Macaca mulatta: one gene and its partners. The protein of the gene in region 1 interacts with the protein of each later gene in a pairwise test. Links are inferred from orthologs where the notes say so. Each region holds a gene or a part of one and is shown in the gene's direction. Other genes may lie near its edges. The genes, in order: STAU1, NXT1, PPP1CA and LONRF1.

Region 1 (5,883 bases):
CACTGCACTCAGCCGGGGCGACAGACCCTGTCTCAACAACAACAAAAAAGGAACGTAAAAAGAAAAATTCTTGTCTGCCAGAAGTGGTAAGCAGGACCTCGGCAAAAGCCAAGGCTGATCTTCTTTCCCGTCACTGTATGGTCCTGGTGAGATAAACTTGAAATCAAGCCTAATTCATTGATGTCTGCCAGTCGTATTGACAGTGAGAAACAGCTTCAGTCGTGGCCAGTTAATAACTGACTGAGACCCCAGATACCACCAGTATAGATCTTAGACTTGGATTTTGAGTTTTTCATTTCAGAATCTTATAGGACATTCATAGTGTCCTTTGTTACTTCGTAGAAAGGTGAGGTAGTGTTTGACAGAATTCTTAGGTAATAACATTTTCCCCATAAGGGTGTTAATTTTGGAATGTCACCTTATTTTTTAATTGGATATCAGCTCCAGGAAATATTCTTGATTTATTTGTTTAGCTTCAGTCTGAAAGCTTCTTTCCCCACTTTGGTGGGCTCTACCGTCTAGCATCTCTGCTCTTTCTGGTTAAATGCTTCCCGTCTTCCTGTGGGTGCAGAGTGCAGCTCAGCATTCACAGGTTAGTGCACTTTGTTAGATGCTCTTTGTGGGCAGGGGTGTGGGCAGGAGGGTGCGTTAGGAGAAGGAGGCAGGCTCTGCCCAGGTGTCTGTCAGCGTGCCAGTGGTCAGGTGGGGCAGGGTTTTTCTGCCGATTGCCTCAGTTATTGCTGATTGGATTTTATGCAGGTTTAGACAGCAGGAGCTAATTTTTCAATGATCTGATTTATGCTCATGCCTTTTTTTTTGTTTGTTTGTTTGTTTCTTTTTTAAGACACCCATAAAGAAACCAGGGGATGGAAGAAAAGTAACCTTTTTTGAACCTGGCTCTGGGGATGAAAATGGGACTAGTAAGTGTGATCTTAATATCATCTTCCTCTGAACGTGATTCTGGGATTTGCATGGGTCCTGAATGACAGCAGGAGTCCAGCCAGTGAGGTCCTGCATGCAAAGTGTCTGTATCATTCCCCGATTCCCTGCGCCGCCATGCATGGCAAGGGGAGGGCCAGCGTGGGGTTTGATGGTGTCATCGCGTTTTTCCAGGCTGTGGATGTGGATTCGTGTTTACCGTGTGTGTCCCTCCCAGGTAATAAAGAGGATGAGTTCAGGATGCCTTACCTAAGTCATCAGCAGCTGCCTGCTGGAATTCTTCCCATGGTGCCCGAGGTCGCCCAGGCTGTAGGAGTTAGTCAAGGACATCACACCAAAGATTTTACCAGGGCAGCTCCAAATCCTGCCAAGGCCACGGTAACTGCCATGATAGCCCGAGAGTTGTTGTATGGGGGCACCTCGCCCACAGCCGAGACCATTTTAAAGAATAACATCTCTTCAGGCCACGTACCCCATGGACCTCTCACGAGACCCTCTGAACAACTGGACTATCTTTCCAGAGTCCAGGGATTCCAGGTAACTGTCAGGCTTGAGCTGTGATGGCTGTGCCTCAGGACAGTCATCCTTTGGCTTCTCTCAGAAAATGAACTTTGGACTTTGTTTCTTAAATCAGGGATGGGTTGGGGAGCAGTGGTGGAAGGGTGGCAGGGAAGGAGGTATAGAAGTATTGTAAGCATATGTGGTAAGAGAAACATCTTTATCCTTTAGTAATATTTCAAAATGCAAGCCAACCCTAAAAACAAAGCTTCTAACCACTTGCAGTGTTGTAAATTTGGATTTCAAAGAACGGACTCATCATGCTGACACCTTCTGCCTGGTGGGAAAGGATATGGCTTCTCCCAGTCTAGGGCTTCTGAGCAGACACCTAGGTTCCTGGAAGGTTCTGGGCTGACAGAGCAGGTCTTGGTATAGCCACAGTCAGGCTGAGTTGGAGAGAAGAGCGGGTGATCTCCTTGCTTGTGGGGCCCGGAGCTGTAGCCCTTCAGCCCACTCATACTTGCTGTTCCCTACCCTACCTAACCTCAGCTCTCTTTTCCTCCTTAGGTTGAATACAAAGACTTCCCCAAAAACAACAAGAACGAATTTGTATCTCTTATCAATTGCTCCTCTCAGCCACCTCTGATCAGCCATGGTATCGGCAAGGATGTGGAGTCCTGCCATGATATGGTATGTCACACCTTGGGTGAGGGATTAGGGTGTTAAGTTGTGTGTTTATGTGGAGCCTGCCTTGGTTCAGCTTGTTACTAGCCTGAGGAATGTGGGAGAAAGATTCTCCCATAGACTTTGAGAACAATTAATTCTTTGATAGTGTTCATATTTTTTAAGACTTTTTGTCATAACTGCTTGGATTGATTTCTCACTCTTGATCAGAACTCATCAGCTTTAGTCCACCTTTCCCTTTTCCCTGCTGGTCTGGAGGGGCGACTGGGATCCTGCAGCTCACCTGGAGACTGCACTCACTTCCTCTCTCACCAGAACAAGGAACTGCAGGTCCATGTTCTGGCAGCTGTAAAAACCACTTGCTTTGGTGTTCTATTCAGATGAAATTACTGTTATAAGAAAACTGAGATGGGGCCGGGCGCGGTGGCTCAAGCCTGTAATCCCAGCACTTTGGGAGGCCGAGACGGGTGAATCACGAGGTCAGGAGATCGAGACCATCCTGGCTAACCCGGTGAAACCCCGTCTCTACTAAAAAATACAAAAAACTAGCCGGGCGAGGTGGCGGGCGCCTGTAGTCCCAGCTACTTGGGAGGCTGAGGCAGGAGAATGGCGTAAACCTAGGAGGCGGAGCTTGCAGTGAGCTGAGATCCGGCCACTGCACTCCAGCCTGGGCGACAGAGCAAGACTCAGTCTCAAAAAAAAAAAAAAAAAAGAAAACTCAGAAAAGGAATTGATCAGATTAACAAATCTAAGCAAACTGTGGTGTATTTACTTGATGGGACATCATGCATGCATGAAATTAATGTCTCTGGGTGGGGTGCGGTGGCTCACGCTATAATCCCAGCACTGCGGGAGGCTGAGGCGGGCGGATCACCTGAGCTCAGGAGTTCGAGACCAGCCTGGCCAATGTGGTGAGACCCCATTTCTACTAAAAATACAAAAAAATTAGCCAGGTGTGGTGGTGGGCGCCTGTAATCCCAGCTACTTGGGAGACAAGGTAGGAGAATCGCTTGAACCCAAGAGGTGGAGGTTGCAGTGAGCTAAGATCGCACTACTGCACTCCAGCCTGGGCAACTGGGTGAGACTCTGTTTCAAAACAAAACAACAAAACAGTGTCTCTGAAGATAACGTAATAAGAAAAATACATGATAGGCCGGGTGTGGAGGCTTACACCTGTAATCCCAGCACTTTGGGAGGATCGCTTGAGCCTAGGAGTTTGAGCCCAGCCTGGGCAACTTAACTTAGTGAGACCCTGTCTCTGTAGAAAGAAAAATACATGATAGATTTTTGTTAGAAAGCAGGATATAACATTTATACAGTCTGGTTACCACAAGGCTAAAAATACTAGAAGGCAAAATACAACATTTTCAGAGGTTATGATTCAATGAGGTAACTGAGTATTTTTTAAATTTGTATTTTAAATTAAAAATTCAAAGTTTTATTTAGTAGTACAAGAGTTTAAGAAGTTGCCACCTGTTTGCTGGGCAGCAGGAACTCTTGCCTGCCTAACCAGTGTATCATGCTGTGGTCCCAAGTGATGGCTGTGGCTTTACTCTTCTTTCCATCCCCACTAGGCTGCGCTGAACATCTTAAAGTTGCTGTCTGAGTTGGACCAACAAAGTACAGAGATGCCAAGAACAGGAAACGGACCAATGTCTGTGTGAGTGCACTGATGAAGGGGAGGCACTGATGATGGGGAGGCTGCCCCTCGTTTGTGTTGAGTTCACACCATCTGCTGACTCAGCGGGGAAATATTTGCCTGAGTTACTTTCTGGCCCTTTTGCCTGAAAGGTTTCCAAATTCTCTGGGCAGAGAGCTCTACTTTTAAAAAACATTTTGAGGCTGGGCACAGTGGCTCACGCCTGTAATCCCAGCACTTTGGGAGGCCGAGGTGGGTGGATCATGAGGTGTCAGGAGTTCAAGACCAGCCTGGCCAAGATGGTGAAACCCTGTCTCTACTAAAAATACAAAAATTAGCTGGGTGTGGTGGCAAATACCTGTAATCCCAGCTACTCGGGAGGCTGAGGCAGAGAACTACTTAAAACCTGGGAGGTGGAGGTTGCAGTGAGCCAAGATAGCACCACTGCACTCCAGCCTAGGCGACAGAGCAAGACTCTTTGTCTCAACAACAAAAAAAACCTTTTTACCTTTTTGAGTCAGTCATACCTTCACATGGTCAGAGCTCTCTTTTATTTTACAAGGTACAATCTTCTCCTCAGACAGCCCCCATCCCATCCCTCCTATTCTTCCCACTGCCTCCCCCATAGATCACATTTTTACTAGTTTCTCCTGTATCTTTCCTGTATGTTTCTTTATGCAAATATAGACATATATTTCTTCCCTCATTTTCTTCCTTTCCCCCCGCAGAGATAGCAAATACACACACTCTCCTTGCTTATTTTATTTACTGGCATATCCTGGGAAAACTTTTGTTATCATAAACTGGGGCTTTTAGTATTGTATATTGTACTTCCTGATGCTTGCCAATTTCTTTTCATTTTTAATAGTACTTTAATTCTCTTACATTTCAAAACTAGCATCATTTTCATTTTTCTTCCTTAAAGGTGTGGGAGGTGCTGAACCTTTTCTGGCCATGAACCATTAAAAAATCCCAACATATATACTGAAAATACTGAAACTGCTTTGAAAATTTGGAATTTCTGATACCTCCAGTGGGCCGAGAGACACGGTGGGTAAAGGATGTGGGCAGCAGCAGGGAAGACAACAGACACGAGGCGGCGGCTGTGGCCGGGCTGGACTGTGCTGGGGTTGTGACGGCCACTCGGTGACCTGGTGGTCCCTATGCAATAGCAGCTGCCTGTGGGGAAGAAGGGCTGCCCAGCCAGCTGGTTCTCCCGGGACACCAGCAGATCCACACCCTGGGCACCTCCGTGTTTGGTCTTTTTTTCCCCCTGTGTGAAAGAAGAAACAGCATGACCCTTTCTCAGGCTGGCTCACTCAGACACATTGGGACAAACCCTGGACAGCCATGCCAGAGAGAGGCCTTTGACCGGCCCCAGAGCTAAAAGCACCAGAGAAAATCAAATGCTTCCTACTCAGCGTGACCCAACTTTTCTAGCGTGCTATGGCCCCACCACCTCCTGCAGTACCCACACCATCACCACTGCTTTATCTTCCAACAGTGATCTGTATTCTTAGTTTCATTATTTTCTTTTGATTGATATGACACTATATAAAATTTTCATTTGAGAGTTTCTCAATTGTATCTAGTTATATAGCACAGTTTGGAAACTTGTCTGAGACTGACTTTATCAATAATCTAACCGACAAAGATCATATCCATGTGTATGTGGTTAGATATTTTTATTTAATTGACTAACCCAGGACAATTTCAGTGATGCAAATTGTGTGCCCTCTGGTTCTGCTGAAACAGTCCTGGACTTTCAAAAACCTTGAATAAGTCTCCCACAGTTGTATAAATTGGACAATTTAGGAATTTTAAACTTTAGATGATCATTTGGTTCCATTTTTATTTCTTTTTTATTTTTGTTAATGCAAACAGGACTTAAATGAACTTTGATCTCTGTTTTAAAGATTATTAAAAAAAATTGTGTATCTATACATACAGCTCTTGAGGACTTAGCTTTCACTACACTACAGGATATGATCTCCATGTAGTCCATATAAACCTGCAGACTGATTTTCCAGAGTGCTCGATACTGTTAATTACATCTCCATTAGGGCTGAAAAGAATGACCTACATTTCTCTATACAGCTGTGTTGCTTTTGATGTTGTGTTAT
Region 2 (6,676 bases), about 41 Mb from region 1:
AGTCACAACTGCTTTGCTGTCACTGTAGGTCGACTGGCTCCAAGTCACACAGCCTCTCATGGCAAACAAATGCTGTTAAGATCCTGCACCAGAGAACAACATTGACAATGAGGGAAAAGATCAATCCTGTGTTTACAGACTTAAATATCCTTAAGTCAAGCCTGGGCGTCAGAGCTGCCAAGGACTCTGCCTGTGTGACCAGATGTGCCCGTCCTCCCCAGACGGACTTCATGCTGCACATGGGACCACTGGCTCCTTGGCTGCTTAAACCACTGGGCTCGTCTTCAGAAGGTGCCCGTGCAATTTGGTGACAAATCCCACCAATTTGTCAATACACTTCTTCCAAGTTTAAAAGCCAGTCATTGGAGGGATTGTTGGCAGATAAGGAAGCTGCTGTAGATGCAAAATGTCAAAGCATGATTCTGCTTTCCTAATGCTTTCTGGATGCTACTTCGTGCTCCGCCCCATATGAAGCACTTAGCGTTGCATTGTTTCCTTCGCTCCTCACGTCAGCCCAAGGAGATGGATTTGACCATTGCCCCTATTCTACAGAGGAGGCAGCTGAGCCCCAAAGAGGTAACTCACTTGCCACAGCCACCCTGCTAATGCTTAAGCCACACTAGTCAAGTTGTAAATAACTTTATGTTTATGCCCAATTTTAAATAGTATAAAAGATAAAAGGGATTTCCTGGCTCTTGAAACTAAAAAGTCCAAACTTGAGGGATGATTTGACTCCCAACATAGCCATCAAGAGCCTGATTTCTTCCCAGCTTTCCTGTCTGCCTCATCATCAAGGGTCTACCACTCAGGGCAGCAAGATGGCTGCAGCAGTGCTATCTACACACCATGGGTCCAGAAGGGAAGGGAGAAAAATATCCTTTCCCAGAATCCCTCAGCAAACACCTCCAGGCTCAATGGCCCTAATTGGGCCTCCCACCACCCTCAGCTGTGCTCAACGCATACAGTGCCAGTTGTATGCCCTTTGGAACCAGGGATGTCTCTGACCTCCCCAAACTCCAGGATCATAGGGGGAATAAAAGCCAGGGTTGCTTCCAAAGAGAGCAGGGAGTGTGTTGAGGACAGATCATCACAACCATGCAGTTGAGGAGCAATGATTTGAACCCAGGCTTGTCTGTTCATTCAGACAGTATTTATTGAGCCCTTGCTATGGGTCAGGCACAACTTTATATGCTGGAGACACAAACCTAAAAGGACCCTAACCTAAAAGGCAGACCCCACAAACCTACAAGGCAGAACAGCTGCCTCTCAAGGCTAAAGTCTCGCATTTTTAAAAGGCCTTGGAGCTTCATTAACGTTCTTCTAACGTCCTAATGTTCTTCTAACTAGCTTTTCTAGGTATGAATTGACCCTGTGACACCAGGATGGTTCTTTGTCAGCCTCTTTGTCTATAAAATCAGAAATAATGGTACCTCCCCCAATAAGTTATGTGAAAGAAATGAAAAGGACTTATTATATATGAAACAAAAGCAGCACAACATCCAAACTACTGAGCGTGCAGTAGATCAACTCTCATTCCCACTTCCATTCCATCCATGCCGATTTAGATCAATCCAAGTATCACTGCCTTGGGGTTCATAAAGTCATTTCAGTTCATAAAGCACCGTAAATGCTCCTTCACCCTCTCTGCTCAGCCTCCAACGTGTCCTTTTAATAATCCAAACTCTCCACCTACTTAACTGAAGTGTGTGCGTGGGGTGGGGGTGAGGGAGCGGGGGGGGGGGGGGGGGGAAGGGGTGGCCTATACTAAACAGCCCAACTGTTTTCAATGTGTCCTGAAATCTGAGACCAAGATTGTCTTAGGAATGCAAGCAAAGGGAGCCGATGGGACGCCAAGAAAGCACAGGTTAAACTACTTCACTTCATCTAGCCCCAGTTCTCTCCTGGCTTTGCAATTAATTTTTCAGCCTCAGACCAGCAGATGGAGCTGAAAATGTTGTCTAAAGAAATGAGGTTTTTCTTTTAATTTACAAGCTACAGTTTCTCAAACCTCCACACTGAATGGTTATATCCTGTTGAGCCTGTTGGTAAAGTTCAGTAAAAATCCAGTCCTCATTCCAGAACAGCTGAAACTTAGCTAGGGACGCGGAATAACAGAATCCCAACTCCTGACGGGCCCGCGTTTCCCGGGACACCTCAGGCCTCAGGGCAGTGGGAAGCCGCCGTCAAGCCCCCGCCTCACCCACGTCCTACCCTCGCCCCAGTCTCCTCCCACTCTTAGCTACATTTCCCATGTGACTAAAACTGGCTTCCTCTGTGTCCACCAGGACATCGCCTCTAAGTGGCTTAAGCTCCTAAGGAGCGCGATCGGCTCAGGCACTCCGCCACGCGCATGCCACAGGCGCGGCCGGCCTTGCCCTCGCTGTGGCCTCAAGCACCGCGGCGCCTCACATGTTGCCATACGGAAGGCCTCGGCGGGGTCAGGCAGCTGCTGCTGGCCGTGACTGCATCAAGTAGTGACGTTTCACGAGCCTTTTAACTGAAATCACTCCAATACAAGGGCATGCGGGACTAGGTGAAAGCACTTCACCCAACCCCACACAACGTCCCCTCCCTCTCCAGCCAAGCGGCCTCCTCGCAGCGGAAAGAACAGCGAGGATCTAGGGGCGGGACCTGAGAGGTTTGGCCCAATCAGGGATCCCACCTAACCAGACGGGCCGGGGTCTGTGACCCTGTTGGGCCAATAAAAACTCGACGGCGGATTTGCCGGGGTTTCTGGGAAGGTGACACTCCCGGAAGCTACCACCTCTTATAAGCCACACACGGGCGGAGATAGCCTTCCGGCTCGCAGTCCCACTGGCTAACCTCGCTGCCCGTCACGGGAATGCGAGAGGGGGCGGGGCCGGAGCGCTCGCGTCTGCGCGGAGTCCGGCTAGCAGCGCGCGGGAAGCCGCGGAACTGCGCCGGAAAGTCCCCAGGCTGTGGGGCCCCGGTGACCCGGAGTAAGCCTCCAAGAAGGAAGAGGAGGGAAGAAAGGCGGCTCTTCCCGTGCCCCTACCCGAGGCCTCGGTGGGCCCACCCTGTGACCTCCGCGGCCGGCCCCTCGGTGGAGCTGCGGCCCGCGCGGGGGGCATCGCGACCGTGGGCGCCGCGGCCCGCGCTGACCCTGGACGTCGCCGCGCAGGTAGGTTGCAGTCCCCCCGGCGGTCTGACCCCGGAGACAGCCTCTCGTGCATACCCCACGCCCTCCTCCATTGTCGGGAATAAGACACGGCTGTACCTTTGTCCACGTGGTAGAGTTGCCTCTCTACTGTGCAAAACGCGTGGCAGCGAATTCTCTTCAATGAGGAGAGGCGCGTCCCCTCGCAGAGCAGCTCTCGGGTCTGAGGAGGGCAGGGCAGGGCGTGCGTCTGTCTAGGTTTGAATTAAAGGCGACTCGCAGGAAATAAGACCATGCCACTGTGGTAGCTTCTCCCGTCCAGCTCTGGACATTCGACGGTGCGGGCCGTGGGAGGAGGCGGCGATCTTCACAGCCTCTTACTCCAGTCCTCAAGGTCTGGTTCTTTTTCTGATTTGACGCAGCGGGGCTGACAGCCCCATAGGTAACTGAGAACCAAAAGTGGAGATGGTCCTTCTATGGAGTGTGGGGGCGTGGCCAATTGTTAGATTGTGTTTGGAAGGACAGCCAGGGGCGGGGAAGAGGGGCATTTCTGAGATGATGGGGGGACTGGTGCCATGGAGGGAAGAGGAGTGAGGTGGAGATCGGGAATTCCAGCCAAAGAGAAATGGGGTCCTGGGAGAAAATTCCCACTCCGGCAGTCCTGGAGTTGTCCTCATGGAGACTTGCTTACGCGAGTAAAAGGACAGCATCGTCTTGACAAAATTTCAGCCCTCAGTCTAGTCTTGTAAATGATAGATCAGGAATGCTCTTAACCGTCATTACCTTGATCCAGCCCTAGGTTTCCCTTTTCTCATTTGTAAAATTGTTATAGTAATACCTTTTTCATTCATTTGTGGTGACATTTAAATGAGGTAATATATGTGAAGCTCTTAGCAAACACAGCGCTGCTTCTTCGTGGGTTCCGCGTGGGGTGGATTCAACCAACCTCAAATCAAAAATACTCTTCAGAAAAAGAAAAATGCCTTTGTACTGAACATGTAGAGGCTTTTTTTTCTTGTCATTATTTCCTAAACTATACAGTATAACAACTATTTACATCCCTTCTACATTGTATTAGGTGTTATAAGTTACCTACAGGTGATTAAGGTACATAGGAGGATGCTGCGCATACGTTGTATCAAACAGTACACCGTTCTATCAGGGACTTCAGCATCAGCAGGTGTTGGTATCCTCGGGGGTCCTGAATCCAGTTCCTCACAGATACCGAGGGACCGCTGTACTTAGTTCAGAGTACAGTTGAGGCTTCACTTTGAGGTCTGTGGAGGGCGTGGAAAGACCCAGGTCTGAAATTGGCTCTTAACTGCTCATTTTTAGGACAGCTTCCCTCCCAGCCAGCCCTTTACCAGAGGCAATGCACCACCTTTGCAGCCGTTATAAGAACCTGGCTCTTTCCAGCCCTATGTGGAATGTTTTATCGCTTTCATAAGCTAATCATTTAAAAAAAAGGTCTTTTTTTGAAATGAAAAAAAAAAAAATCACTATTTAAGTTTGTAAGTATAAACTATTTTAGTAATGTCCTCTATTTTAGTAATCCAGTATTTTAGTAATGTCTTCTATTTTAAGTGAAATATTTTAATTATGGAGAAAATAACATAACAGTTGTACCTGTACCCTGAAAAAAGTAAATGTCAATTTTTTTTATGCTTTTTACTTTTTTATTGGGGGGACAGTGTGACATTTCAGCTATAGTACACATTCTGTGCCCACACACCCAAGAACTTTGAAATTTAACATGTCTTTCTGTGGAGGCACTGTGGCTCCACAGGACTGATGTGGTGGATATTAGTACCTATGTAAGCTGGGTGTCCTCCCTTCTAATCCCCACTCACCCAAGAGGTTTGCTGCTTCCAGCTTACCATGGGGATTATGGCTGCCATTTTGGTTCTGTCCTCATGTCATTTGTGTTTCTACCCTCTTAAGAAACCTGCCTTCTCTGCCCTCCTGGTTCCTCTTGAGTGAGCTCCATGATAGACTTTCCCAGACTCAGCAGCTGACGAGCATTTCGTTGGTTTGGTTGGCCTTTATTGAGCCAGTGACCACTCTTCCCTTCTAAATGGTCCACTGTCTTTACCAAGGGGCAGTCATGTCTGTTGCAAGCATTCAGGAAAGAGTGGCCTTCCATAGTCAAATGTACTCTATTTTATAAAGTGTGATTTAAAAAATTAATGGTCCAGTCAGCCCTCCTCATCCTCTGGGAATTGATTCCAGCAGTCCCCCTACCCCTGCAACAGACCAAATCTGCTGATGCTCCAAGTCCTTGATATAAAATGGCGTTAAGGCCAGGCACGGTGGCTCATGACTGTAATCCCAGCACTTTGGGAGGCTGAGGCGGGCAGATCACCTGAGGTCAGGAATTTGAGACCAGACTGGCCAACATAGCGAAACCCTGTCTTTACTAAAAATACAAAAATTAGCCAAGCGTGGCGGTGGGCACCTGTAGTCCCAGCTACTTGGGAGGCTGAGGCAAGAGAATCCCTTGAACCTGGGAGGTGGGGGATTGCAGTGAGCCGAGATCACGCCACTGCACTCCAGCCTGGGTGACAGAGTGAGACTCAGTCTCAAAAACAAAAACAAAATGGCATAGCACAGTCAGCCCAATATATTTGCAGGTTTCGCCCTGAGGTTGCTTGAATCTGTGGATGCAAAACCTTCAGATATGGAGTGCTGACTATAACTAAATGTTTTTAACTAAACACAATGTATACTGTCTCAGTTTGCCACAGTGGTAATCCCATCTTAACAATGAGCAAACTGAGGCTTAGTAAAATTAGACATTTAGGTGTTGGGTACTATTTGAGCCTACAGTCATTGTTCTGCAGTCTGTAACTATTTTGCCAGTAGTAGAAAAGGAGGAATGTTCCATTGTCAGGGCAGAATGAACTTTGGCATTCACATGGGTTCTCTTCAACCTTACTTCCCTGCAGTCCCTGATTCCCCAAGGCAGAGGAAATACCCTGGTGGAGCCCTTCTCCCATAGAACCAGAAATGGCATCTGTGGATTTCAAGACCTACGTGGATCAGGCCTGCAGAGCTGCTGAGGAGTTTGTCAACGTCTACTACACCACCATGGATAAGCGGCGGCGTTTGCTCTCCCGCCTATACATGGGCACAGCCACCCTGGTCTGGAATGGCAATGCTGTTTCAGGACAAGAATCCTTGAGTGAGTTTTTTGAAATGCTGCCTTCCAGCGAGTTCCAAATCAGTGTGGTAGACTGCCAGCCTGTACATGATGAAGCCACACCGAGCCAGACCACAGTCCTTGTTGTGATCTGTGGATCAGTGAAGTTTGAGGGGAACAAACAACGGGACTTCAACCAGAACTTCATCCTGACCGCCCAGGCGTCACCCAGCAACACAGTGTGGAAGATCGCAAGTGACTGCTTCCGCTTCCAGGATTGGGCCAGCTAGTGGGGGTGGCAGAGGTCTCTGCTTCATTCAGCCCTAGCTCTGTAGAGAAATGCAAACCTCAACTCTCAAGGATATGAGGAACACAAGTTCATTTCTGTTGTTGCGGAGACACTGCAGACTCCACTGTGC
Region 3 (4,158 bases), on another chromosome or scaffold:
CCATCCCACCTCAGCCTCCCAAAGTGCTGGAATTACAGGCCTAAGCCGCCACAGCAGGCCCACCTCCAGTTCTGAGGTTACTGGCATGTAAAGCACCCAACTCAGGGTTCCAACAAGAATTAAGGTTAATTTATCGTCTGCTCCTTTGAGACAGAGTCTCACACTGTCACCTCGGCTAGGGGGTGCAATGGGCCTTGGCCCACTGCAACCTCCGCCTCCCAGGTTCAAGTGATTCTCCTGCCTCAGCCTCCCCAATAGCTGAGATTACAGGCGGCTGCCATCATGCCCAGCTAACTTTTTGTATTTTTAGAGAGATGGGGTTTCACCATGTTGGCCAGGCTGGTCTTGAACTCCTGACCTCAAACGATCCTCCCACCTCAGCCTCCCAAAGCGCTGGAATTACAGGCGTGAGCCACTGCACCCAGCCATGTCTGCTCATATAGTAATTCTTTTTACGTGCACACCCTGCAATATTACTGTGCTACTCAAAAGCTAATTATGGGGCCAGGCTTGTTGGCTCACGCCTGTAACCCCCCCAGGACTTTGGGAGGTCGAGGCCAGTGGATCACTTGAGGTTAGGAGTTCAAGACCAGCCGGGCCAATATGGCGAAACCCCACCTCTGCTAAACACACAAAAACCAGGCGCAGTGGCGCGCGCCTGCAATCCCAGCTACTCCAGAGGCTGAGGCAGGAGAACCCCTTGAACCTGGGAAGCGAATGTTGCAGTGAGCCAAAGTCGCGCCACTGCACTCCAGCTTAGGCGACAGAGCAAAACTCTGTCTCAAAAAAAATAAATAAATAAAAGCTAATTATGGGACTTGTAAGAAAATATTAATTTATCATGCCCCAAGGACCAAAGTGCGCTGGAAGTTCAGCCGTAGCTGTCTTTGAGTGTGGTCAGCCGCCTGGGGGCCACGGAGACCCACGAAAAAGGGGGTCGTACGTGAATGCGAGGTCCAGGTCTTGCACCAGTCTGTTCATATCTCTTGAGCCTCAGTTTCCTTTCCTGCACTTCGAGCAGTTAACCCTCAGTGCCTAGCAGCCGGTTATTAATATATTCACAACACCCTCCACCCAGGGCAGGGGTGGGAACGGCTGTTCTGCTTTTGAAAGAGAAAAACAACTTCCACAGTTCTTCCGGCCCCACATCCTCTGAACCGGGCTGGGCGCCTCCTCTGGGGCGTAACCAGTTGGACGCGCCCCCGACAGACCCCGCCGCCAAGGCCCCGCCCCCCAGGCCGCGGCGCTTCACGTCCAGCGGGGGCGCTAGAGCGCGGGGGACCGGGCGGGGCGGGCCCGGGAGGCCCGGAGGCGGGGCCGCGGGCCGGGGGCGGACTGGGGCGGGCGGAAGGAGAGCCAGGCCGGAAGGAGGCTGCCGGAGGGCGGGAGGCAGGAGCGGGCCCGGAGCTGCTGGGCTGGAGCGGCGGCGCCGCCATGTCCGATAGCGAGAAGCTCAACCTTGACTCGATCATCGGGCGCCTGCTAGAAGGTTGGTCGCGGCGGGGGAGGCCTGCGTCCGCCGCTCCCGGGCCCCCTGCCGGGCCCGGAAGTGGCGCGCGGGCGGGCCCCCGGGGCCAGCTTAGACTGGGCGGGGACGGGCCGCGAGGTTCGGTGGCCGCAGCCGCCCCCCCGCGGACGCGCCTGAGAGGTCCTGGGCCCGCTCCGACGCGCGGAGCAGCCCCCTCTCCCGGGCCGGGGGCGCACGGGTTGCCTGGGTTCTTGAGGCGAGGGAGAAACCCGGGAAGCCCGGTCCAGGAAGGGGTCCTGCGCTGTGAGGTGTTTGGGTGGCAGCCCCCTGCGCACGACAGTCGCCTCCCGAGGCGCTGAGGGTAGTTGGGGGCTTCCCTTGGGAGGCTTGAGGCCGAGGTCCCGGGAGGCTCAGCAGCAACAGCTGCCTGCGGGCAAGGAGCGGCCGAGGAGGCCTAGGCGCCCCCGGAGGTATCCATGGGGCCACCCGTGTCGCCCACCCTCCACCTGTCAGGGTCCCGGGTCTTGACACCCCATTGCGCCCCCAGTGCAGGGCTCGCGGCCTGGCAAGAATGTACAGCTGACAGAGAACGAGATCCGCGGCCTGTGCCTGAAATCCCGGGAGATTTTCCTGAGCCAGCCCATTCTTCTGGAGCTGGAGGCACCCCTCAAGATCTGCGGTGAGCCCCCCGACCCAGGTCCCCTTGCTTTCCTGAAAGTGGCACTGGCCCCCACAGAGTTCCTGGAGTCCTCCTCCCTTGAGCCCAGTCCTGGTCCTGGGTTCAGGTCTAGACCCTGCATCTAGCTTACCCGATTCCCTGGGTCACAGGTGATATACACGGCCAGTACTATGACCTTCTGCGACTATTTGAGTATGGCGGTTTCCCTCCGGAGAGCAACTACCTCTTTCTGGGGGACTATGTGGACAGGGGCAAGCAGTCCTTGGAGACCATCTGCCTGCTGCTGGCCTATAAGATCAAGTACCCCGAGAACTTCTTCCTGCTCCGTGGGAACCACGAGTGCGCCAGCATCAACCGCATCTACGGTTTCTACGATGAGTGTGAGTGGTCTGAGCGTCTGGGGCTGCCCGGGTCCTGAACCACACTCCTTGTCATTCAGTGGGACCTTCACATTGGCCTGATATCTGACAGACACTTGCTAGACTGTGCACTCCACGAAGGCAGGGCCCAGGTCCGTTCTTGTGCCTGCCCTGCCCCTCCTGGCATGGGGTCTGGGGAATGGTTGCTGACTGAAGGACTGTCCGTATTCTAGTGCTTTCCCCCAGGGCCCTGCCTGGTGACGTTCCCTCTACATTTGCTACTAAGCATTTAGGATGTTTGCAGATGAGCTCTGCTGTCCAGAAGCTGAGATAAACCAGACCTGTACTTGGCCCGGCTCGTGGGCCGGGGCGTGCAAGGAGTGCCAACCCTGAGGCTGGTCCAGATTGGAACTCAGTTTCCAGTGGACTCGGGTGCTTTAGAATTACTTCTGGTGGGAGGCTGAGGCGGGAAGATCACTTGGACTCAGAAGCTCCAAGTTACAGTGAGCTATGATCTTGCCACTGCACTCCAGCCTGGGTGACTGAACAAGACCCTGTTTCTTTACTTTTTTGAGACGGAGTTTCGCTCTTGTTGCCCAGGCTGGAGTGCAGTGGTGTGATCTCAGTTCACTACAACCTCCATCTCCCGGGTTCAAGCGATTCTCCTGCCTCAGCCTCCCGAGTAGCTGGGATTACAGGCATGCGACACCACGCCTGGCTAATTTTTTTGTATTTTAGTAGAGACAGGGTTTCTCCATGTTGGTCAGGCTGGTCTTGAACTTCTGACCTCAGGTGATCTGCCTGCTTCAGCCTCCCAAAGTGCTGGGATTACAGGTGTGAGCCACCATGCCCTGCCCAGATCCTGTTTGTTTAAATTACAAATTAAAATAAAAAGTAACTAGAATTACTCCTGGAAGGCTGACAGGCGGCAGGGGTGGGGGTGGTTTGCATTGGTGCCTGACTCTCTCCCATCTGCGGCTGAATAGCCCAGAGACCCCGGCTAAGGGTGGAGCAGGCAGACCCCTCACAGCTACCTCCCTCTGGGCAGGCAAGAGACGCTACAACATCAAACTGTGGAAAACGTTCACTGACTGCTTCAACTGCCTGCCCATTGCGGCCATAGTGGACGAAAAGATCTTTTGCTGCCACGGAGGTGAGCTCTCCTTAGTTGTCATCTGGGAAGTCACTCCTTTCAGGAAGTGTCTCCCATACCCCCCTGTGCTGGGCTGCACTCACTTCCTTGATGTGCATCCTACATGGGGCGGGCTTGTCTCCTTTCTCCCAGGAGCTCTGTGCTCCGGAGGCCAGGGGCGCCTTTGTGCCTGTTTGGGAACTTGAAAAAGCTGAGGGGAAGGGGATGGCTTCTGCCTGCCTAGGCACCCAGGAGACCAGTGGAGGGACCAGGAGGGTGGTGGAAAAGGTGAGGCTCACTGGCCAAGGCTTCCTGGAGGAAGGATGTCCTTGTTTGAGGAAGTGACCTTCCTTCTGGCCCTCCAGGCCTCTCCCCGGACCTGCAGTCCATGGAGCAGATTCGGCGGATCATGCGGCCCACAGACGTGCCTGACCAGGGCCTGCTGTGTGACCTGCTGTGGTCTGACCCTGACAAGGACGTGCAGGGCTGGGGCGAGAACGACCGTGGCGTCTCTTTTACC
Region 4 (5,883 bases), on another chromosome or scaffold:
AATGCCTACTATGTGGTGAAAACAGTAAAATATGGGTTCTTGGGAGAGAAAAAAATAACTAAGGAAGAGTTTGTGAAAAAGGTAAAATTGGAGTCAGACCTTGAAGGATAGACATGTTTTTCATAGGCAGGAGTGAAAGAGATGACTTATAAGTTGGAATAGAGAATGACACAAAAATGCACGAGGATAGTACTTTTTCAGAATATTTAGGGGGCAGCGCAAATGTACGATTTTATATAGAGCTGGGGTGGATGGATCGTATAGGAAAAGCAATATCTTGATAAGGTCTGAGTGATAGTGTCCCAAGAAACGCACCGTCCTTGGGTCACTCAAGGACAGAGTCGAGGTCCACTCCTCTACTCAGTAGTGGGTGACAATGGAAGAAAAATCTGAAAGAAAAATTATCTAGAGACTGTGTCTGAAACTGGGAACAGAACAGATGTTTTGCTTTTCTTATATAAGGCAAATGTGTTATTTTATTTATTCCTTATCTCCTTTTTGTATCTCAGTTAAAATGACAGTTTAGTGCCCATGAGCTGTCAGATGGAAAAGGGCCTCTGTTATGGAAGACAGCGGGGCAGGGCCCTCTGCAGCTCATAGAGGAGCTGTGGTCACAGCAGGAAGCAGTTCTTCTGTACAGGACTTGGTTCAGGTTGCAGCCAACTATCTTTAATGCTCTTGAGCAAAGCCTTAGACAGGTTTTTTTGCTTAGCATCATCCATTGTAATGTTCCCCTCACTAATTAATCCAGAATTGATGGTATAAATATGTAATAAAGGCTTTAATATATCAGTTAACTGTGTTGCCTGTTTTATACTGTAGGAAAACCACTGCTGGAATGTAAAATAATATTGTCTTTTAGTATCTAGCAGATAGGAGGTACTGTGTCACACAGCTGTTGGAAGAATTAATAGTGAAGTATCTGCCTGATGAACTGTCTGAGAGAAAAAAAATATATGATGAAGAAACTGCTGAACTCTCACAGTAAGTTTCTTCTCATAAAAAAAAAATTATGAACTACTACCCTTTAATAGTAAGGGAAAACCTCACCGCAAGCTGGATCCTGTCTGTAGTTCATCTCAGTCTAGTCAAGAAGTACTGGTCAGTTTCTGTGGTCCTCAACAGACAGAATTTTATAAAAGTTCACTTGGTAACATCCGGATGTTTTACAGGGAGTGGTTGACTCAGCTCTGTGGGCTGAAGCAGTATTTTAGGCGGAGGAGGAATTTCCTACAGTGCCATCAGGCAGTGGAATGGGAAATAGAGAGGGGGCGCCAGTGACAGTGACATTGGTGGTGATGGCAGCTCTCATGTGTCATAGTAGGGCGAGAGGAAGGTCTAGGGTCAGTAACCTAGATTGGCAGGGGATTTTCTGTCACATGGAGGCCCGGAAGGGGCTTTCCAAACTTTGAGATCTGAGATTGAAATTGGAAGAGAGGTGTTCAGGGCCAAATCCTCCCTTAATGAAGATACTGACTGGGAGCACAACTGAGTTGGTGTCGGGAGGGTGAAAATCTCAGAGGTAACTTTGGGATTTGGTAATTCAGACCACTCCGCAGAGAACACAGCAGCTGATGGAGCTGGGTAGGCAGGGCAAGGCATTGCTCGTTGTCTCTTTTCTGTTTTTCTTTCCCATTTTTCTCCCTTTCTTTTCCCTAAATGTCTTTCCCTCTGACCAGTCACTTGGGTCTCTTTAAATTTTATTCATGGGTTTTAAATTTCTTTATTTCTTTTACTCTCTTTTAATTGAACACACTAAAAAGCAAAATTATAATTTTTGTATGCTGTTTTATTTATTTAACAACTTTTTGTTTCCATTACTTTTCAAAATATAAATTGAACATTTTATATGTCACTTTCTAACAAAAGCTGTGCTTGTAGACTCTCCTTTTTCAACCTGTGTCCATCAGATGTCTTCAGTGAGCCAGGGGCCCTCGTAGAAGAAAGATTGCCACTCTTTTCTTTATAGAAATAGATATTGATTTGTCTTCTTACAGAATTGGTATTTTATTGTGTGATTTACAAAATACTCTGATGTGACAATCATGAACCTTTCTGATCAATGCTGAAGCATCTAGATTTAAGAAAGCTGCAGTTTGACTTTTGCAAATTTAAACACAGTGACACAACCAGCCCGCCCACAGAGGAGTGGTAGACTCAAAGGACAGAGGAGGGAGTCGCACACAGAGAGCTGCGTGTTGGAGAGAAGAGAAGCGTCAGGGTGTCCAGCTGCTTACTAACGAGGCTGTTTTTTAAAATACATATTTTAAACATGTTTCATCTTATGTGTATATAAGTAATTGATGGTCATTTTGAAAAAAACTCAAAAATACAAATGAGCATTTTAAAAAAAGCCATAATCTGCAACCCAAAGGGAATCAACTATTGGCATTTTGACATACGTATTTCCAAACTTGAATGCAGTATGTATAAACAGGCTTTAAACAAAGGTGGGATCATGTTATTCATGATCTATATCTAAAACCTGTTCCTCTCATTGATATAAGCATTTCTTCTAATTCAGTTCATACACATCATCTTTTAATGGAAACATAGTATTCTGTTTTACCGATGTACCATAATTGATCTTACTAGTCTCCTCTTTATGCTTCTACATTTTGGTTACTACCTATATTGCTACAGTGAACATTCATGTAGCACTTGTCCACTCATGTCTGAAAATAAGCTGGTTGGTTCCAAGAACATGAACATTTCCTGCCAACAACATAAGGTTTCTGCTCTCTGTAGCCATGTTCTTTAGTGTGCCTGTGCTGTTTCAGACTGCCCCCATGCTGCCAGTTTTCCCATATCTAAGACAGGACTGGGCATTGCCTTTATCCTTCTCTTTCTTTCTACCACTCTGGCAATGAAAAATGTTATATCATTTTAATTACTTGGAAAAAATGTTATCTCATCAGAATATGTTTTCTGATCTTGCGTTTGAAAATACTTTAATGCCTAAGAATTTTTAATTATTTGCTTTTTGTCTGTTGTGGGAGTTCACTTTTTCTTACTGTTATCTAAGAGTAACTATAAGTGTTTGGATAAAAGATATTTATTGTCATATGTTATAAATATTTAAACAGATTTTAATATAAAATATTATAATAAATTGATTCATAAAGATACTTAGCTCTGTAAGATAATCTGGTGTCTTAAAATTCAATTTATAAGTAAGAGGATCACAGCAGATTTTTAGTATTAATATTTCATCAGTGTGAGCTTAATGAACGGGGTGCTGATTCTTGTTCTTGCCAAGAATAAAAACCACCTTATTTAGAACTTATTCTTTTTTTGTTTTACATTAGTTCATTACTGTTATAAACCTCACTCATTTTTTGTGTGTGTTTGGTAATATTTTTCTTGTATGAACTCAATAATTAAACTGTTTTTCCCTCAGCTTGACCAAGAATGTTCCAATATTTGTTTGCACTATGGCCTACCCCACTGTGCCTTGCCCTCTCCATGTATTTGAGCCAAGATATAGATTGATGATTCGAAGAAGTATACAGACTGGAACCAAACAGTTTGGCATGTGTGTCAGTGATACACAAAATAGGTATGCTTTTTGTGAACTAAAATATTTGTATTTATGTTAGACCTGTCAATATGGATGAGAACTTGCATGTTTATGTTTCCACTTTGTTACTAATCAAGGTTTTCTTTTAGTTTTGCAGATTATGGTTGTATGTTACAAATTAGAAATGTGCATTTCTTACCTGATGGAAGGTCTGTGGTTGATACAGTTGGAGGAAAGCGGTTTAGGGTTTTAAAAAGAGGAATGAAAGATGGATATTGCACTGCCGACATTGAATATCTGGAAGATGTTAAGGTATTTTAAAATATGCTTTGCCAGCATACTTTAGTGTATCCTGTTCCAGGGATTGGTACAGGCATGCAGGCTATTTTCTAGGCGCATGAACCAGTTCTTCTTATCAGAGAGCCTTACCACTGTTGAGAATGCGCTCCAAGTTACCTTTTTCGTATCTTGCTCTGCAGTTGTTGCACATTCTGAGAGAACTTGGAAGACTAGAACATAGATTCTCTTTATTTCTACAGGCTTAACAACCAGCCCAGTGCCCTAGAATGTATGTGTATATGTACACATGTGCATGTGTGTATACACATGATAGGTACTTAATAGTGGTTAAGTTGAACTTCCAGCCCATCTAAGTTTTGAAAGGTTTACATTTCTGCCCTGTTTTATTGAATGTATTAGTAGTTGAAGCTGATGGAATTAGTAGATTGAAACTTCATGTAAATGTAAACACATCAAGTCTTGTAAGAATTGTTTTATATACTCAGATTGTTCTTGTGCCTAAGATAACCTTAATGATAAAATAGAGTTGAATGCTGTGTGAAGACCCTGGGGCAGACATAGAAAGCACTGTCAGTGTACATGTTGGTGATATCTTAGCAGGGTAGCGGTTTTGTGATGTCTTTCTAGAATAGGGTTAATGTGGCCCTTTTGATGTTTGCAATACCCAGTTTACCTACTGCAGTTAGTTTAGGAACCAGAAAAATGACTTGTGATGCTATAAATACCAAATTGAAGGCAATTTCTTTTGGAAAGGCATTATAAAAACAGATCTTATCCCGTCACTTGTTCATTGATCTGTTTAGGCCCTTCATTTCAGTCAACATTTATTGGATATTGGCATTAGGTATTTTCACAAACATTAACTCATAGAATTTTCACAACTCTATGAGGAAAGTATAATTCAGAGGTGTTAATTAATTTGCCTAAGATCCTATAATGTAACAAAAATGATTAAAGCAAACTCTCTGACTCAGGCTCTGAGCTTTAGCATTATGCCATTTGGCTCTCTGCTGATAAACCTGATTAGTCTGACATTGGCTGTCCTATCTTATTATAAAAATGCATTGGGGTACTTTGCCCTGTGCAGTTGGCCAAAAGTATTGTGTAAGTTGAAATTTTGAGTTGATTGGTATAATCTGTGCCAACCTTAAGCATACTTAATTAATGGAATCACTTGCTAAAGGTTCTCCTTTGTAAAGTTAATAACCCTATTTCAGTTTCATGTAAAGTTATATCTTCACATATTGGATTTGATGACAAAATCACTTGAGTATATGGCTAAATTACATGACTATATGTATTAATACTTATAAACATGTAGGCAATGGAATCACATTCTAAAAGTATCACAGATTTGATATTTATAAACTTGTATAAATTTTTTTTATAAATTTTTTTATAATTATAAATTATTTATAAACTTGAGTCCTCTTTGTGGTCCTCGGAATGTCCAGTAATTTTTCCTCATCATAATGTCTTCATCTATATAGTGATTTTCTTGTCCATTCTGGAAAACCTTCTCAGATTTGTTTTTTATAGCAAATTTTCCTCTTCTTATAATAATTCTGTTTTCTGTGACTTCTAATGAAATTTTAAAATCTGTTAAAATTATCACAGTAAAGTACTTTGACTTTAAAAGCTTGCTTTTAAAAGGGAGCTGGCCAAAAAGCAGGCAGAGACGCTTTTAAAGTCTCTGCCTGCTTTTTGGCCAGCTCCGTTTGTCATCACAGACTCTTATAATTGTTATCATTGCTTGTTTACTAGAGCCTGTCATTTGTTTTCTTGAATTTTGTGAGGGTGCAGAGTAGATGCTTAAAAAAAAAAAAAAAAAGATTAAACAAGTCGTAAGTTTTGTTTCTTGCTCCTGTCAGTGTATGTTAGCAACGGCCCAAATCTTGTGTAGTCATTTCAGGGCCACAATTCTTCAATTGTGTGGCTCCTCTACCTTTTTTAAAAGTTTATTTTTATTGTGGTAAAATATACATAAAATATACCATTTTAACCATCTTTAAGTGCACACTTCAGTGGCATTAAGTATAGTCACATTGTTATGCAAAAAGCAG

The links.
Region 2: the proteins of STAU1 (region 1) and NXT1 interact in binary tests that used the Homo sapiens proteins (3 or more experiments, as listed by UniProt). The two-hybrid records come from large-scale screens. The link is inferred for Macaca mulatta from reciprocal best matches to the Homo sapiens genes STAU1 and NXT1.
Region 3: the proteins of STAU1 (region 1) and PPP1CA interact in a two-hybrid assay, tested with the Homo sapiens proteins (2 studies listed by BioGRID and IntAct). The link is inferred for Macaca mulatta from reciprocal best matches to the Homo sapiens genes STAU1 and PPP1CA.
Region 4: the proteins of STAU1 (region 1) and LONRF1 interact in binary tests that used the Homo sapiens proteins (3 or more experiments, as listed by UniProt). The two-hybrid records come from large-scale screens. The link is inferred for Macaca mulatta from reciprocal best matches to the Homo sapiens genes STAU1 and LONRF1.

The regions. Positions count from the first base shown.
Region 1 is NC_133415.1:101,926,808-101,932,690, reverse strand, and holds part of STAU1 (double-stranded RNA-binding protein Staufen homolog 1), read left to right. Parts: intron 1-844; coding exon 845-920; intron 921-1,156; coding exon 1,157-1,476; intron 1,477-2,004; coding exon 2,005-2,127; intron 2,128-3,695; coding exon 3,696-3,781; intron 3,782-4,685; coding exon 4,686-4,701; 3' UTR 4,702-5,883. UniProt on the Homo sapiens protein: Binds double-stranded RNA (regardless of the sequence) and tubulin.
Region 2 is NC_133415.1:60,679,556-60,686,231, reverse strand, and holds the start of NXT1 (NTF2-related export protein 1), read left to right. Parts: upstream 1-2,816; 5' UTR 2,817-3,142; intron 3,143-3,238; exon of another isoform or gene 3,239-4,888; intron 4,889-6,063; 5' UTR 6,064-6,124; coding exon 6,125-6,547; 3' UTR 6,548-6,676.
Region 3 is NC_133419.1:6,982,013-6,986,170, forward strand, and holds the start of PPP1CA (serine/threonine-protein phosphatase PP1-alpha catalytic subunit), read left to right. Parts: upstream 1-1,358; 5' UTR 1,359-1,434; coding exon 1,435-1,489; intron 1,490-2,015; coding exon 2,016-2,147; intron 2,148-2,296; coding exon 2,297-2,527; intron 2,528-3,554; coding exon 3,555-3,659; intron 3,660-4,003; coding exon 4,004-4,158. UniProt on the Homo sapiens protein: Protein phosphatase that associates with over 200 regulatory proteins to form highly specific holoenzymes which dephosphorylate hundreds of biological targets.
Region 4 is NC_133413.1:13,032,138-13,038,020, reverse strand, and holds part of LONRF1 (LON peptidase N-terminal domain and RING finger protein 1), read left to right. Parts: intron 1-862; coding exon 863-984; intron 985-3,400; coding exon 3,401-3,559; intron 3,560-3,669; coding exon 3,670-3,832; intron 3,833-5,883.